Macaca fascicularis: one gene and its partners. The protein of the gene in region 2 purifies or fractionates together with the protein of the main gene of each other region. This does not show direct contact. Links are inferred from orthologs where the notes say so. Each region holds a gene or a part of one and is shown on either strand. Other genes may lie near its edges.

Region 1 (4,158 bases), on a different chromosome or scaffold from region 2:
ACAAAAAAATGAGCTAAGTGTGGTGATGCCACGCCTGTAATCCTAGCTACTCAGGAGGTTGACACACAACCACTTGAACCCAGGAGGTGGAAGTTGCAGTAAGCCATGATCATGCCACTGCACTCCAGCCTGGGTGACAGAGTGAGACCCTGTCAAAAAAAAAAAAAAAAAAAAAAAATTACAATCACCAAAACTAGAAACCATCTATATACCTGGAAAATGGATAAACAGTTACATCCATACAATGGAATCCTACTCAGCAATATAAAGGAATGGACTGCTGATACCTGTGACAACACAGATGAATCTCAAATGCATTCTGCTAAACAGCAAAACTGCAGACTCAAATGCTACATACTGAATGATTCCATTTATATGACATTCTGGAAAAGACAGGTCAGCAAACTGTGGTCTGGAAGCCAAATCCAGCCATTTTTTAATGGCATATAAGCTAACAAGTATTTACATTATTAAATGGTTGGAGAAAATAGTATTTCATGACACATGAAAATTACACAAAATTCAAGTTTCAGTTTGCAGAAATAAAGCTCGATTGAAACACAGCCGCCTGCATTCCTTCATATATTAATTACCTGGCTGCTTTCGTACTACAACAGCTGAGTTTAGCAGCAGCAACAGAGACTATAAAAGCCCACAAAGCTTGAACTATTTACTGCATGGCCCTTTCCAGAAAAAAATTTGCTGACACCTGCTATAGGCACACAGAATAGCTTGACAGTTGCTAGTTTAGTAAAAGGTGGGGAAGGAGTTGGCCACAAGGGAATTTTCTAGAGGGTGATGTAGTTGTTAATTGTGGTGGTGGTGGTGGTGACTTGACTGCATTTGCCAAAACTCAGAACTCTACACCAAAAAGTATTTTTAAAAATATTTTATTTTAAAATAAATGCTAATGAACAAGAGGGACAGAAAACACCAGTAGTTGCCAGGGTGCAGGAGAAGAGACTAAGTACAGGGAACAGGGGAATGTCCTGGGTGATAGAACTGTCCTATCGATTGGTTACAAAACTATGCATTTGTCAAAATTCACAGCCTAGACACTAAAAAGGGTGATTTTACTGAATGTAAATTATAAACTTTTTTATTTTTAAAAAAGAGATAATGAAGGCCAGGCATGGTGGCTCACGCCTGTAATCCCAGCACTTTGGGAGGCTGAGGCGGGCAGATCACTCCCGAAGTCAGGAGTTTGAGACCAGCCTGGCCAACATGGTGAACCCCATCTCTACTAAAAATACAAAAATAGGTTGGGCGTGGTGGCACACGCCTGTAATCCCAGCTACTCGGGAGGATAAGGCAGGAGAATCACTTGAACCTGGGAGGTGGAAGTTGCAGTGAGCCGAGATAGCGCCACTGCACTCCAGCCTGGGCGACAGAGTAAGAATCTGTCTTTAAAAAAAAAAAAAAAAAAGATAATGAAATGAGAGGAACCAAATATTTACCCTATGTGGGGTTTAAAAAAAAAAAAAAGGCTTATGATAGGTTTTCTCTTAGAGACAGTAAAAATAAGTGCCAGGAATTGAAAGCAAAGAACAGTAAGATGAGAGAGATCTTCAATATACAAAATGTTTCAAAACTTTTTTTTAGTACAATATGCTTATACAAGAGGTAAGACTTATTTTTGTATTTGATTTGATAATTTGACTTGGAATTTTTCTGTGGGAATAAGTGTTAGAATGCTTATTTTTAAGTTTCTCAAAATTTGCAGGCAGTAAGCAAGGCCTTAAAGCCACAGAGGGCTCTAGAACTAGTTCCATAAAGCATTTTACTGTAAAAACATGTACAGATCTTTAATAGAAAAGTATGTTTCTTTACAGTAGAAAAATATCTGAACAGTCAACTTAAGACAAAAATTCAAATATAACATACGACCTATAAACTATCTATTTAGCTAAAACTGAATCGAGCTGTTTATAAGAACTGATTCCAAAATATACATACATGAATTTACATAACTGATACATAGAAGTTCTTCAAAATCGACTGTAAATTGAAAAGTTAAAATTGGCCTTGCCTCTGCAGTTTGGAGCTGCAATGGCTGCCAGCATCGGCTGCTTTCTTGGTGCCTGAGCTGCAGGGTGGGCCTGTCAAGGAGGGACTGCTGTCTGGGTCACTTTCCCTCTGGCTGTTTGTGGCGCAGGTGCATGAGGCGCTCAATCTTGGCCTGGAAAGAATACCTCGAAAGAATATCACGCACTGGAAGTCTGTGAGGAAGTGAAGACGCTAAAAGCGGGCAGTGCTGTGTTTACTTATAGACAGTGGAGCGGGTCCAGGGCAGTCCTCGCCAGGCTGGTTTTTAAAGCACTCTTTTGGTTTAGGATTCAGCTTCATCATGGTCACTTTCATTATCATTGTCATTCTCCTCATCTTCTTCCCTCTTTTCCTCTTTAAGCATTTTCAGGTATTTACTAGCTAATATCTTCTTTGGTAATATATCTTAAAAACATAAAGCTTACATCAGCAATTGGTTATGGTAGACTATGAACACAGCAATGCACATTTCAAAATGTACTAGTTCCTGCTTTGACCTCTACAAGAGGTTCCAAAACATAGATGAAATTCAGGCTACATTTCTGGGTAAAATATCACAGAAACTAGCATTGTCTCCTAACAAATGCTATAGGCCTCTTTCCATTATTCCACTGAGTACAAACCATGGTGTCTCTATGAGCTGCTTTTATAAGCAACCCTGCCCGATTACCTGAGATAGGCTAGGCTAGCCCCAGGGCAGACTTAAGCTCTAACTATGGGCATGTGGACCCACCCTGAGTTTTCCCTTCAATGGCAGGAAGGGTCCCTGTAAAGGACTGCCCAGCACAGGCGGCCAACCAACATCTTCTGAATGCTGTTGGCTTCACTGTTGTTCTAGGTGGACCACATAACACACACATTCAAACAGAGAAGACTAAAAGTATCTTCCTGTGACAGCTCATAGCACTTTGCGGCCTGCAAAGAGTAGCAAAAAGTCTAATTCCATGAAAGCAGAAGGGAGGCAAGGGGTGGGGAAAGAGCTATTGATTACTAATCATTTTTTAACCAGAATGTTTCAAAGACTAAGTACCTGCAAGAAACTGAAAAGTTTCTGATTCCTGTGCAGTGTTTGCTAAATCACTGTAAGTCAGTACTTTCTTTTCCTTTCCACTGCCGTGTCTGTAGGAATAGGTGGCTAGGCATTGAACAAAGAGCTCCTAAAACAAAATGAAAAAGGAAAATAAAAGGTGTGCTTTGAAAATGTACCACAGAGCTTAATTTTGTAAAATTACATTGCTGATACCTTATTATCAGGCTTAAAATTACATTAAGACTTCAGATTATCTTGGTTTCTTAAATTACAAGAAATCACTGCGGAGGCCGGGTGTGGTGGCTCAACACTTTGGAAGGCTGAGGCAGTCGGATCAGTTGAGGTCAGGAGTTTGAGATCACACTGGCCAACATGGTGAAACCCCATCTCTATTAAAAATAAAAAATTAGCTGGGCATGGTGGCAGGTGCCTGTAATCCCAGCCACTTGAGAGGCTGAGGCAGGAGAATCGCTTGAACCTGGGAAGTGGAGGTTGGAGGTTGCAGCACTCTAGCCTGGGCGAGACTCCGTCTCAAAAAAAAAAAAAAAAGAAAAGAAAGAAATCAATCACTGGGGAAAAGAAAAACATGAGGTCAGAAAGAAAGCAAAGCCGGTATCAAAACTGGCAGAGAAGCAGGCATTTTCCAGAGGCTTTAGATGTCTAACTTATGAAAAAGATTAATCATAACTGTTTAATGGCCAACCTCTAGAGTAAAAAAAGAAGCGGCCAGCAGTGCTGGCTCACACCTGTAATCCCAGCACTTTGGGAGGCCGAGGCGGGTGGATCACAAGGTCAGGAAATCGAGACCATCCTGGCTAACACGGTGAAACCCCGTCTCTACTAAAAATACGAAATCAAAATTAGCTGGGCATGGTGGCGGACGCCCGTAGTCCCACCTACTGGGTAGGCTGAGGCAGGAGAATGGCGTGAACCCGGGAGGCGGAGCTTGCAGTGAGCCGAGATCGCGCCACTGCACTCCAGCCTGGGAGACAGAGCGAGACTGTCTCAAAAAAGAAAGAAAAGAAGCAAAAAGCCATTCAAAAATTCTATTTGGCTCAGTAATACATTTTTAGTCTTCTATT
Region 2 (4,933 bases):
TTTAATTAGGTACCATGTACATGGACCTGAAACATTTTTATCTATAGTATGTTGACTTTTTATATGAAAAGGGGTATGTCGGCCGGGCGCGGTGGCTCAAGCCTGTAATCCCAGCACTTTGGGAGGCCGAGACGAGTGGATCACGAGGTCAGGAGATCGAGACCATCCTGGCTAACATGGTGAAACCCCGTCTCTACTAAAAAAAATACAAAAAAAAAAAAAAAACTAGCCGGGCGAGGTGGCGGGCGCCTGTAGTCCCAGCTACTCGGGAGGCTGAGGCAGGAGAATGGCGTAAACCCGGGAGGCGGAGCTTGCAGTGAGCTGAGATCGGGCCACTGCACTCCAGCCTGGGCGACAGAGCAACACTCCGTCTCAAAAAAAAAAAAAAAAAAAGAAAAGGGGTATGTCTGTGGTGTGTGTTTGGGTATATTTAAATTACACGAATGTAGAAAGAACTTAGAAGCCAGCTTCCAATTTTAACTAATAAAAAATGTTTTTAGTCTACTATACTTTTCCTCCTCCCAGATTATTTGAAGCAAACGCCAGACACTATAGCATTTCATAAATTATTATCTGTCTCTTAAAGATAAGAAATATCACTGATACAGTATTAAGTATACAGATTCAAGTTTGTTTGTTTCTCTCTGTATTTTAATAAGAATGACAGTTGTACCAGTAGATGAATCTCCTCTATGATACTATCAAAAGCATATTGTAAGAGTTGTCAGTGAATGGGTTTACTTTTTCCTTTTTATACCTTTTTTGTAGAGATAGATTTTTAAAAAATGCTTTCCTTGAAAGCAAAGTAATTAAAGGAATTGAATTGGTGGAGAGGAGTGGCAGGAACTTGGTGGGAATATTCAGATATTAATGTAAAGTATATTAAACTCTGCAAGGAAAATGGAGACTATTAAATGTTCTCATGTTGCAGTACTTTTTGGAAGGCTGAGGTGGGCAGATCATTTTAGGTCAGGAGTTCAAGACCAGCCTGGCCAACATGGTGAAACTCCATCTCTACCAAAAATACAAAAAATTTAGCTGGGCGTGGTGGCATGCACCTGTAGTCCCAGTTACTTGGGAGGCTGAGGCAGATGAATCACTTGAACCTGGGAGGCAGAACTGAGATGGCGCCACTGCACTCCAGCCTGGGTGTCAGAGCGAGACTCCGTCTCAAAAAAAAAAAAAAATATTCTTACACATTTGAGGTGCAGGAACGTGTGACAACAGCAGATTGTCAGCCTCCACTTATAAGACGGGATCATTTCATAATCATTACTTTTCAAAATGATCCTTTGTCTTGATGCATTCTACTGAAAGTATTATGTAGTTGCCTAAAGAAGTGGAAGGCAGTCAGATAGTTTGAATCACGTCAGATAAGTGAAGGATAGTCATTGTAGATATATGAGGTACATATTATGGTCCTTTGATCTGGAATGGGTCTTCAGAACCAGGTTGAAACCTGGAGTATTAGGTGTGTGTTGGGGGTTTGGGGAGTCATACGCATTGAAGAGGAGTTGTGGAGTAGTGGAAGGTTATTTTTAAACATACGTGAGGTAACAAGATAATGATTATCTTACCCTTTGAGATGGGAAAGCCTTCCAGACCAGAGGCAAATATGCTTTTCTGTACAAATGTTATCCTTTTTTATTTGTGCCATGGTGAGAAAAAAGTGGGAAATGACTGACTGGGATGATAATGTGTAGATTTTTTTGCCCCCTTGTAACCAAGTAGGTAACTTTGGAATTATAATTGGTTAGTCTTACTTTTGGTTACCCTTAAATTTTTCTACTTTTGAATATATTAATATATTCACTAACAGGTTCACGAGTATTAATCTTCAGTCAAATGACAAGGGTATTGGACATTTTGGAAGATTATTGCATGTGGAGAAATTATGAGTACTGCAGGTTGGATGGTCAGACGCCCCATGATGAGAGACAAGTGAGTAAAATTTGGGGAGGGAGATAAAAAAGAATCATAAATTTTTTGACAATCATTTTATTTTATCCGTAGGACTCCATCAATGCATACAATGAACCAAACAGCACAAAGTTTGTTTTCATGTTAAGCACACGTGCTGGTGGTCTTGGCATCAATCTTGCGACTGCTGATGTAGTAATTTTGTATGATTCTGATTGGAATCCCCAAGTAGATCTTCAGGCTATGGTAAGAGATAACAAATAAATGTATTCTGTGCTTAGTAGATGAATTAGTTAGGGTGAGGTAATTCTTCAGATACCAGTGACTTAACCCAATAGAATTTTATTTTTCTCCAATCCAGTGGTTCAGTGAGAGTATATTGAGTTGATGTTCCATCTAAATAAGGGTATTTCCATCTCAGAGATCTGCCATATCTTAGGACCCTGGAGTCCTCTGCTATATCCTCTGCATCCTATTGGCAGAAGGGGGAAAGGATAGAGTTGGGGATTTTCCAGGAAATTTATGGGTCAGACCTTGAAAGAGCCTCCTTGTCTCTCCACCCTCTTGATCAGACAATTGGACAGAACTCATCATGTAGCATAACTGACTGCAAGGGGATTGGTAAATTATATTGTTGTTGTATCATAGGACGAAAGAGAATTGAGTTTGATGAGCAACTAGCCTGTCTGCCACTTTAGATATTTAAAAGATACACCTGTGTGAAAGTACCAGTCAGATCAGGAATATTATTTTTAGATTGAGAGAATTGATACTGCAGATTGGCCTGACCCGTGATACTGGTGACCATAAACCCAACTGTAATTAGTCACTTTCTTTCTTTCTTTTTTTTTTTTTTGAGACAGAGTCTCACTCTGTTGCCCAGGCTGGAGCACAAGGTCCGCCTTCCGGGTTCACACTGTTCTCCTGCCTCAGTCTTCCAAGTAGCTGGGATTACAGGTGTGCACCACCACGCCTGGCTAATTTTGTATTTTTATTAGAGATAGGGTTTCACCATGTTGGTCAGGCTGGTCTTGAACTCCTCACCTTCAGGTGATCCCCCCACCTCGGCCTTCGAAAGTGCTGGGATTACAGGAGTGAGCTACTGTGCCCAGCCCGTTAGTCACTTTCATCTTGTGCTCTTACTAAGGTTGACTGGGGAAAATTGTCCGATTATTAGAAATAAAGGAGTTTTTTAGGAATGTAGTTAGCAAAAGTGAAACAGAAATTCCTATTCAAACTAGTTTGACTACTTGTATTTAGTTAATTGGGTAATATTTAAAGATTAGAATTTTTATGTTTGATAAGTTCATTGTTTCATGTCACTTTTTTGCCTGATACAGTAACAATTTGGGTTTGATATAGATAGAAAAACATTTTGAATTTAAACCTAGGGAAAAAGACTTAAAATCTTTTCTCATCAGACTTAAAAATTATAATTTTGTATATTGTTTGGAGACATTGTGTGTGTTTTATCTCTGTAACCTAGCAGAATTCATCTGATTCTTACAGATTCATTGTTACTACAAATTTTTAAAAGTTTTATACTTCAGAATATTTTAATTTTGTTTCTCAATGTACCCATTTCAGTGTTATTTATGTGACTTTTAAACTCAATTCAAAATAACATGGTAATTTATTTAGGACCGAGCACATAGAATTGGACAGACCAAGACAGTCAGGGTGTTCCGCTTTATAACTGATAACACTGTAGAAGAAAGAATAGTAGAACGTGCTGAGATGAAACTCAGACTGGATTCAATAGTCATTCAACAAGGTAAGCCATGGAACTTTAAAACTTTACCAAGCTGGATTGACACAACCTGTTTTTGTTTGAACATCGTCTTAGAAGATTCTTGTTACTAAGCATCCATTGAGTCAAGCTTGCAGCCAGTAGAGATTACTTGTATTGCAAATACAGTAAACTTTAGTTTTGTCCTTAAGATTTATTTGGGCTCAGGACAATTGAGTTTTGAATAATGACTCTGCCAGTTAGCAGTTCTCTCTCGTTACATGAACCCATTTCCTCATCTGTTAAGTGGGGATAAAAATACACTTAAGGATTTTAAAGGATTAAAGGGGATAATGTATATAAGATATCTGATATTCAGTGTGGTGGTTAATGATTTATATGTACTAATTACTCTTGATTACTGTGGGGAATACTGAAGAAATAAAAATCAAAGAGCCTGATTTTATTCTTTTTTCTTGTCTGCAACTTATTGAGTACCCACCAGATGCTAGGCACTGTTCTTGGTGTTGAGAATTCAGTGGTAAATGGAACATTCAAGTATTCTTACTTTAAAAGAGTTTACAATTTAGTTGGGAGGGCAGATGAAGTAAACAAGGTATAAGTAGGAGTAGGGGGTGAGAGTGGGATTTTATTTTGAATCGATTGAAGGAAACTTAAGTTCTCATTCCAGATCAACTTTTAAGGATGACATAGTTTATGTTTTCATGAAACTTACTGTAAAGTTGATGATGGGAAATATAAAATTCAAGAAAAGGGGTGGGAAACTTAATAACTTCAAATGTTCATTAGTTTCCTTTGTAACTGCATTGTGAGCATATATTTACTATCTGTCTAAAAAGCTGAAAGGCATATTGTTACATTGTTTACTGATTATGTAGGTGTCTTGATTTTGTCAGTCTCTTATTTCCATGTAAGAGAGTATTTTTCATGTCTTTGGTATCCCTAATGCTATTGCATACCTAAAGACAATAAATTATTGCTTATTTTTACAAATTGTTTCCGTTAATAAAGTGTTTACTTTGTGCCAGGCAGTGTGAACATTTCATTTTCTCCTTTAGTCTTCATGCCAACTTGAGATGTTAGCATCAGAGGTAAAGGCTTTTGAGAGGTTAAATTACTTGTTCATTGTACATACAGCTGGGAAGTGACTCAAGGGGACCAAGAACTTTGTTAACTATTAAGTATTTAATTAGGAAGGCCTTTGGGGGCTTCTCGAGGCTACCAACCCATGAGGTTATCTCATGGGTGATAAAATGGCTAATG
Region 3 (4,933 bases), on a different chromosome or scaffold from region 2:
CTCTATGTTATTAAGAAATCAATATACTTAAATCTAAAGGGGCACAAAAAATCTGTAATTTCCATACTGGAGAGTGCAGTAGAGTATGTTAGTTATCCTCCAGTAGTCATCCCAGTCCTTCCTCTAAGGGAGGAATAACAGCAAACTACTTCTGGAGAAGACCAGCTTATAAATATTTGTCTTTGTGGATCTTTTGGTCTTCACAGCTATTCAATTCCACTGTTGTGGCCCCAAAGCAATCACAGGCAACATGTAGACAATCAGCATGGCTGTGGTTCAATATAACTATTTATGGACAGTGAAATCTGAATTTCATATAATTTTCACTTATCACAAAGTATCATTCTTCTTTTTTCCAGTCATTTAAATTGTAAAAATCCAGCCGGCGCAGTGGCTCACGCCTGTAAATCCCAGAACTTTGGGAGGCCAAGGTGGGCGGATCACCTGACGTCAGGAGTTCTTGACCAGCCTGGCCAACATGGTGAAATCCCATCTCTACTAAAAATACAGAAATTAGCTGGGCGTGGTAGCAAGCACTTGTAATCCCAGCTACTCAGGAGGCGGAGGCATGAGAATCGCTTGAACCCAGGAGGTGGAGGTTGCAGTGAGCCAAGATCATGCCACTATACTCCAGCCTGGGGGATAGAGTGAGACTCTGTCTCCAAAAAAGGGGGAAAAGCCTTTTTAGCTTATGAGTTATACAAAAACAGGGCAGGGCAGGGCCGGGTCGGGCACAGTGGCTCACATCTGTAATCCCAACACTTTGGGAGGCCGAGGTGGCTGGATCACTTGAGGGCAGGAGTTTGAAACCAGCCTGGCCAACATGACAAAACACATCACTACTAAAAATACAAAAATCAACCAGGTGTGGTGACATGCACCTATAATCCCAGCTACTCGGGAGGCTGAGGCAGAAGAATCGCTTGAACCCAGAAGGTGGAGGTTGCAGTGAGCCGAGATGGCACCACTGCACCCCAGCCTGGGTGACAGAGCGAGACTCCACCTCAAAAAACAACAACAACAAAAATGAGGCCGGCCAGATTTGGCATACAAACTGTTATTTACTAACCACTGGTTGAAGGTAACAGAACCACTAGTTTTCAGCTGGGCACTTAGCAACCCAAAAGAAGGACATTTCCCAGAGTAGGCACAACCAAACAAAAAACTTTTGTTCAAAGAGATGGGATCAGAAGCATTGTGTGTACCCTCTGGACTGTGCTTCCCTTTCCTCCTTCCCACTTCCAACTAGCTAGAATGCAGACATGGTGATAAATCATTTTGGAACATGAGAATGGCAGCAAAACCCTAAGGATGGCAGTACCAACAAGACAGAAAGAGCTTGGACCCCTGATAATCTGCCTTGACTATGAAAATATGTTGGAATTAAATTTCTCTGTTGTTTCAGTTGCTGTCAAATTGCTTTGATAGTTGGGAAGTATTTTTTCATTCTATTTCTTTTGCTTGAAAGAGTTTGTGTAAGACTGGAATTATCTGCTTTTTTAAAAATTTGGCAGAATTCACCTATAAAGTTGTCTAGGACTGATGTTTTCTCTGCAGAAAGATTTTAGTACTGATTCAAGTTCTTTAATCGTTTAAGACCATCTACATTAACAAATTTCTTCATAAATCCATTTTGATAATTTGTATTTTTCTAGGATTTTATTTTTGCATATATTTTCAAATGCATCAAAAAATTGTGTATTATCTCCTCATCTTTAAGTTTCTACTCTATCCATAGTTAATGTTGCTCCCTTTCAGTCCTAACTTTATGATCGCCATCTATATAAAAATCAGTTTCAACAAAGGTTTGTCTCGTTTGTCTTTCTCAGAAGAACACGCTTTTAGATTTGTTACTGTTCTTTACTACATTTTTATTTTTTTAAGAAAGGGTCTTCCTCTGTTGCCCAGGTTGGAGTGCAGTGGCACAATCAGGGCTCACTGCAGCCTTGATCTCCCAGGCTCAAGCGACCCTCCCACCTTAGCCTACTGAGTAGCTGGGACTACAGGTGCATGCCACCATGCCCAGCTTGCTTTTTGGGTACTTTTTGTAGTGATGGGGTTTCACCATGTTGCCAAGGCCGATTTTGAACTCCTGGGCTTAAGCAATCCACCTATCTTGGCCTCCCAGAGTGCTGGGATTACAGGTGTGAGCCACTGCACCTGGCCCTACTATATTTTTATTTTCTATTAATTTCTACTCTGATGTATTATTTCCTTCAGACTTAGGGGGATTATTCTTTTTCTCCCACCATCTTCTTAAATAAATGTCTAGCTGAGTTTGTGTTTCTTCTTTTCTAATATGTATTAAAGGTATACATTTTCCCCTAAGTAGAGGGACTGTATTCAACAAGCGTTAATATTCAGTAATCTTTAGTTTGATTCATTTTAAATATTTTTTAGTTTCCATTATAGTTTATCTTTTGACCCAATATTTAGAAGTCTGTTTTAAAACTCTAATCATATTAGGTTTGCTTTAGATTTTGAAATCAATTGCATTGTAATCAGACAATACAGCTTCCATGATAAAGGAAATTTTCCATCTACTTAGAGTAACCATTTAGAAAAAAATACAGAAAAAAGATCCCATCCAAATTACAGGCACAGAATTAACTTAAGGATTTCTTTTGATAGTCATTAAATAAGGTTGGTTAAGGATCCTCAAAAGAAATTTGTATTAACAGCTTTTAAAAGATGTATTCGCTTTGATCTAGCAATTTATGAAATAATTTTAAGGTAGGAGAGAGTTCCACTTTCATCAATATGATACAAATTATGAGCATTATTGATCTTTATATCTCTAGTATATAGGAGGCATCCAATGCATGCTGAATGAGTACATTATAGAATGCAAATTTCTATTTGGCCCAAATAAAGTAGTAAATAAATTCAATGCAACTTGCTGACTAACCAAAAGTTAAAGTTATCAGAAACTGTCCTATTAAAGACATAGGAATATTATCTCTTTTTTCTTAAGTATAGATGATGTGTAAATAATGACCCAATCATAAATGTACTAATAGGACTTCATAACACATTTTACAACTCATCACAGCTAAGAGGTGGGCATTTAAAAAAAAAAACACAGCCTGGAATCACGAACGAAAGCAATCAATATATTTCAGAGGAGCTGAATTAATAAAGTGCTTTATCAGTTAAAAACAAACAAACAAGAATGCTCTTAAGGAATTTCAGTATTACCCCTTCTGCCTCTTTTATGTGATCCTGGGTCATCTTCATCTTCTGTGACCATATCTTGATCTAATTCCTTTTGCTCTGTGTCTTTGCTCTCAGTGCTAGTATCAAAATCTTCCCTTTCTTCCTCCCTTAAGGATAAAAACAAGGATGACATTTACTAATGAATATATAATTCCATTTATGAAATATTTATTGCTTGCTTACGAAGTCCCGGGCATAGGCTTAGGAGGTAGTGAACAACATGACACAGTTTATGGTCTTTCAGAGAAAACAGATAATTACACAAATCATTTAAAAAATATGTAATAAGTACTAAAACAAGAGCAGTTCAAGGTATTATGAAAACATTTCAAGGAGAATGAAACTGACTCTTAGGGATCAAAAAGGCTGGCTTGAAGAAGTGACATTTTACAATTTGAGACCAGGGAGATGGGGAGGAGTGTGTGCTACAGAGGAATAACATACACAATGGAACAGAACTCAAGAGAAACAGGAGGAGCTTATAATTTTGAGAAAAGTGTAACGGAGAAAGCAGTAATCCAAGAGGCAGATGAGAGAAAAAGGCAGGGTGAGATTAGGCTAGGCCTTGTAAGGCCTTATCCAAAAAACAATAGGAAAAAAACCAGAAGAATTTAGAAAGGGAAATGGTATTAGAAAGTACTGTAGCCACTGTGTGAAAAATTACCTGGGAAAGAAAGTAGATGAGGGGCCAGTAATAATAGTAATAGATCAGTAGTGGTCTAGGTGGCTGGCTAGGCGGTGATGGTGGCTTAGAGTAGGAAGGAGAGAAGATGACAAATAGTGGAAGAGAGAAATTCAGAAATAGTAAACAGGCAGAATGAACACAACACAGCTGTTTAATTCATTATGTTATCCAAATTAAAACTAAAATTATATGAACCTTGAAATAAATTACACCATTATGTTCTAAATCCAAAGTTGGGTTTTGCAAGCTCTAATGTAAGGAGAGCCAGGGATAATGTAAATGAATGGGGCTGAATGAATATTTAAAAAATATGAAGATGTGAAAGCCATACAATGTTACTTTTCTTATATACTGAGCTTATATACCATAACAATCACCATTTTAAAGTGTATAATTTAGTGGTCTTTAGTGTATTCACAAGGTTACACAATCATTACCACTGTCAATTCCAGAATACTTTCATCATACCAAAAGGAAATGCCATATCCATTAGTAGTCATTTCCCATTTCCTCTTTCTTGCTGCCCCTGGCAACCATACATCTACTCTCTACTGATTTGCTTATTCTGGACATTTCGTGTAAATGGAGTCATATAACATATGGTCTTTTGTCACTAGCTGCTTTGAGATAGAATCTCACTCTGCTGCCCAGGCTGGAGCACAATCTCGGCTCACTGCAACCTCCGCCTCCAGGGCTCAAGCAATTCTCCTGCCTGTACAGGTGTGTGCCACCATGCCTGGCTAATTTTTTGTATTTTTAGTAGAGACAGGGTTTCACCATGTTGGCCAGGTTGGTCTCAAACTCCTGACATCAGGTGATCCGCCCGCCTCAGCCTTCCAAAGTGCTGGGATTACAGGCGTGAGCCAGTGCGCCCGGCTGTAACTAGATTCTTTAGCATACATTTTCAAAGTTCATCCACATTATAGCCTGCATTAGAACTCCATTCCTTTTTATTGTTGAATAATATTCTCCTGTATGGACACACGAAGAGATATACCATTTGTTTATGCATTCATCAACTGGTGGACATTT

What was found. The genes of interacting proteins can lie anywhere in the genome.
Region 1: the proteins of SMARCA5 (region 2) and CHRAC1 fractionate together in Homo sapiens (co-fractionation; 5 studies listed by BioGRID and IntAct, with this or other methods). This does not show direct contact. The link is inferred for Macaca fascicularis from reciprocal best matches to the Homo sapiens genes SMARCA5 and CHRAC1.
Region 3: the proteins of SMARCA5 (region 2) and BAZ1A purify together in Homo sapiens (affinity purification with western blotting; 8 studies listed by BioGRID and IntAct, with this or other methods). This does not show direct contact. The link is inferred for Macaca fascicularis from reciprocal best matches to the Homo sapiens genes SMARCA5 and BAZ1A.

The regions. Positions count from the first base shown.
Region 1 is NC_088382.1:150,114,071-150,118,228, reverse strand, and holds the end of CHRAC1 (chromatin accessibility complex protein 1), read right to left. Parts: intron 3,204-4,158; coding exon 3,077-3,203; intron 2,452-3,076; coding exon 2,330-2,451; 3' UTR 877-2,329; downstream 1-876. UniProt on the Homo sapiens protein: Forms a complex with DNA polymerase epsilon subunit POLE3 and binds naked DNA, which is then incorporated into chromatin, aided by the nucleosome remodeling activity of ISWI/SNF2H and ACF1.
Region 2 is NC_088379.1:148,647,685-148,652,617, forward strand, and holds part of SMARCA5 (SWI/SNF-related matrix-associated actin-dependent regulator of chromatin subfamily A member 5), read left to right. Parts: intron 1-1,819; coding exon 1,820-1,941; intron 1,942-2,013; coding exon 2,014-2,166; intron 2,167-3,561; coding exon 3,562-3,694; intron 3,695-4,933. UniProt on the Homo sapiens protein: ATPase that possesses intrinsic ATP-dependent nucleosome-remodeling activity.
Region 3 is NC_088381.1:102,594,221-102,599,153, forward strand, and holds part of BAZ1A (bromodomain adjacent to zinc finger domain protein 1A), read right to left. Parts: intron 3,324-4,933; coding exon 3,199-3,323; intron 1-3,198. UniProt on the Homo sapiens protein: Regulatory subunit of the ATP-dependent ACF-1 and ACF-5 ISWI chromatin remodeling complexes, which form ordered nucleosome arrays on chromatin and slide edge- and center-positioned histone octamers away from their original location on the DNA template to facilitate access to DNA during DNA-templated processes such as DNA replication, transcription, and repair.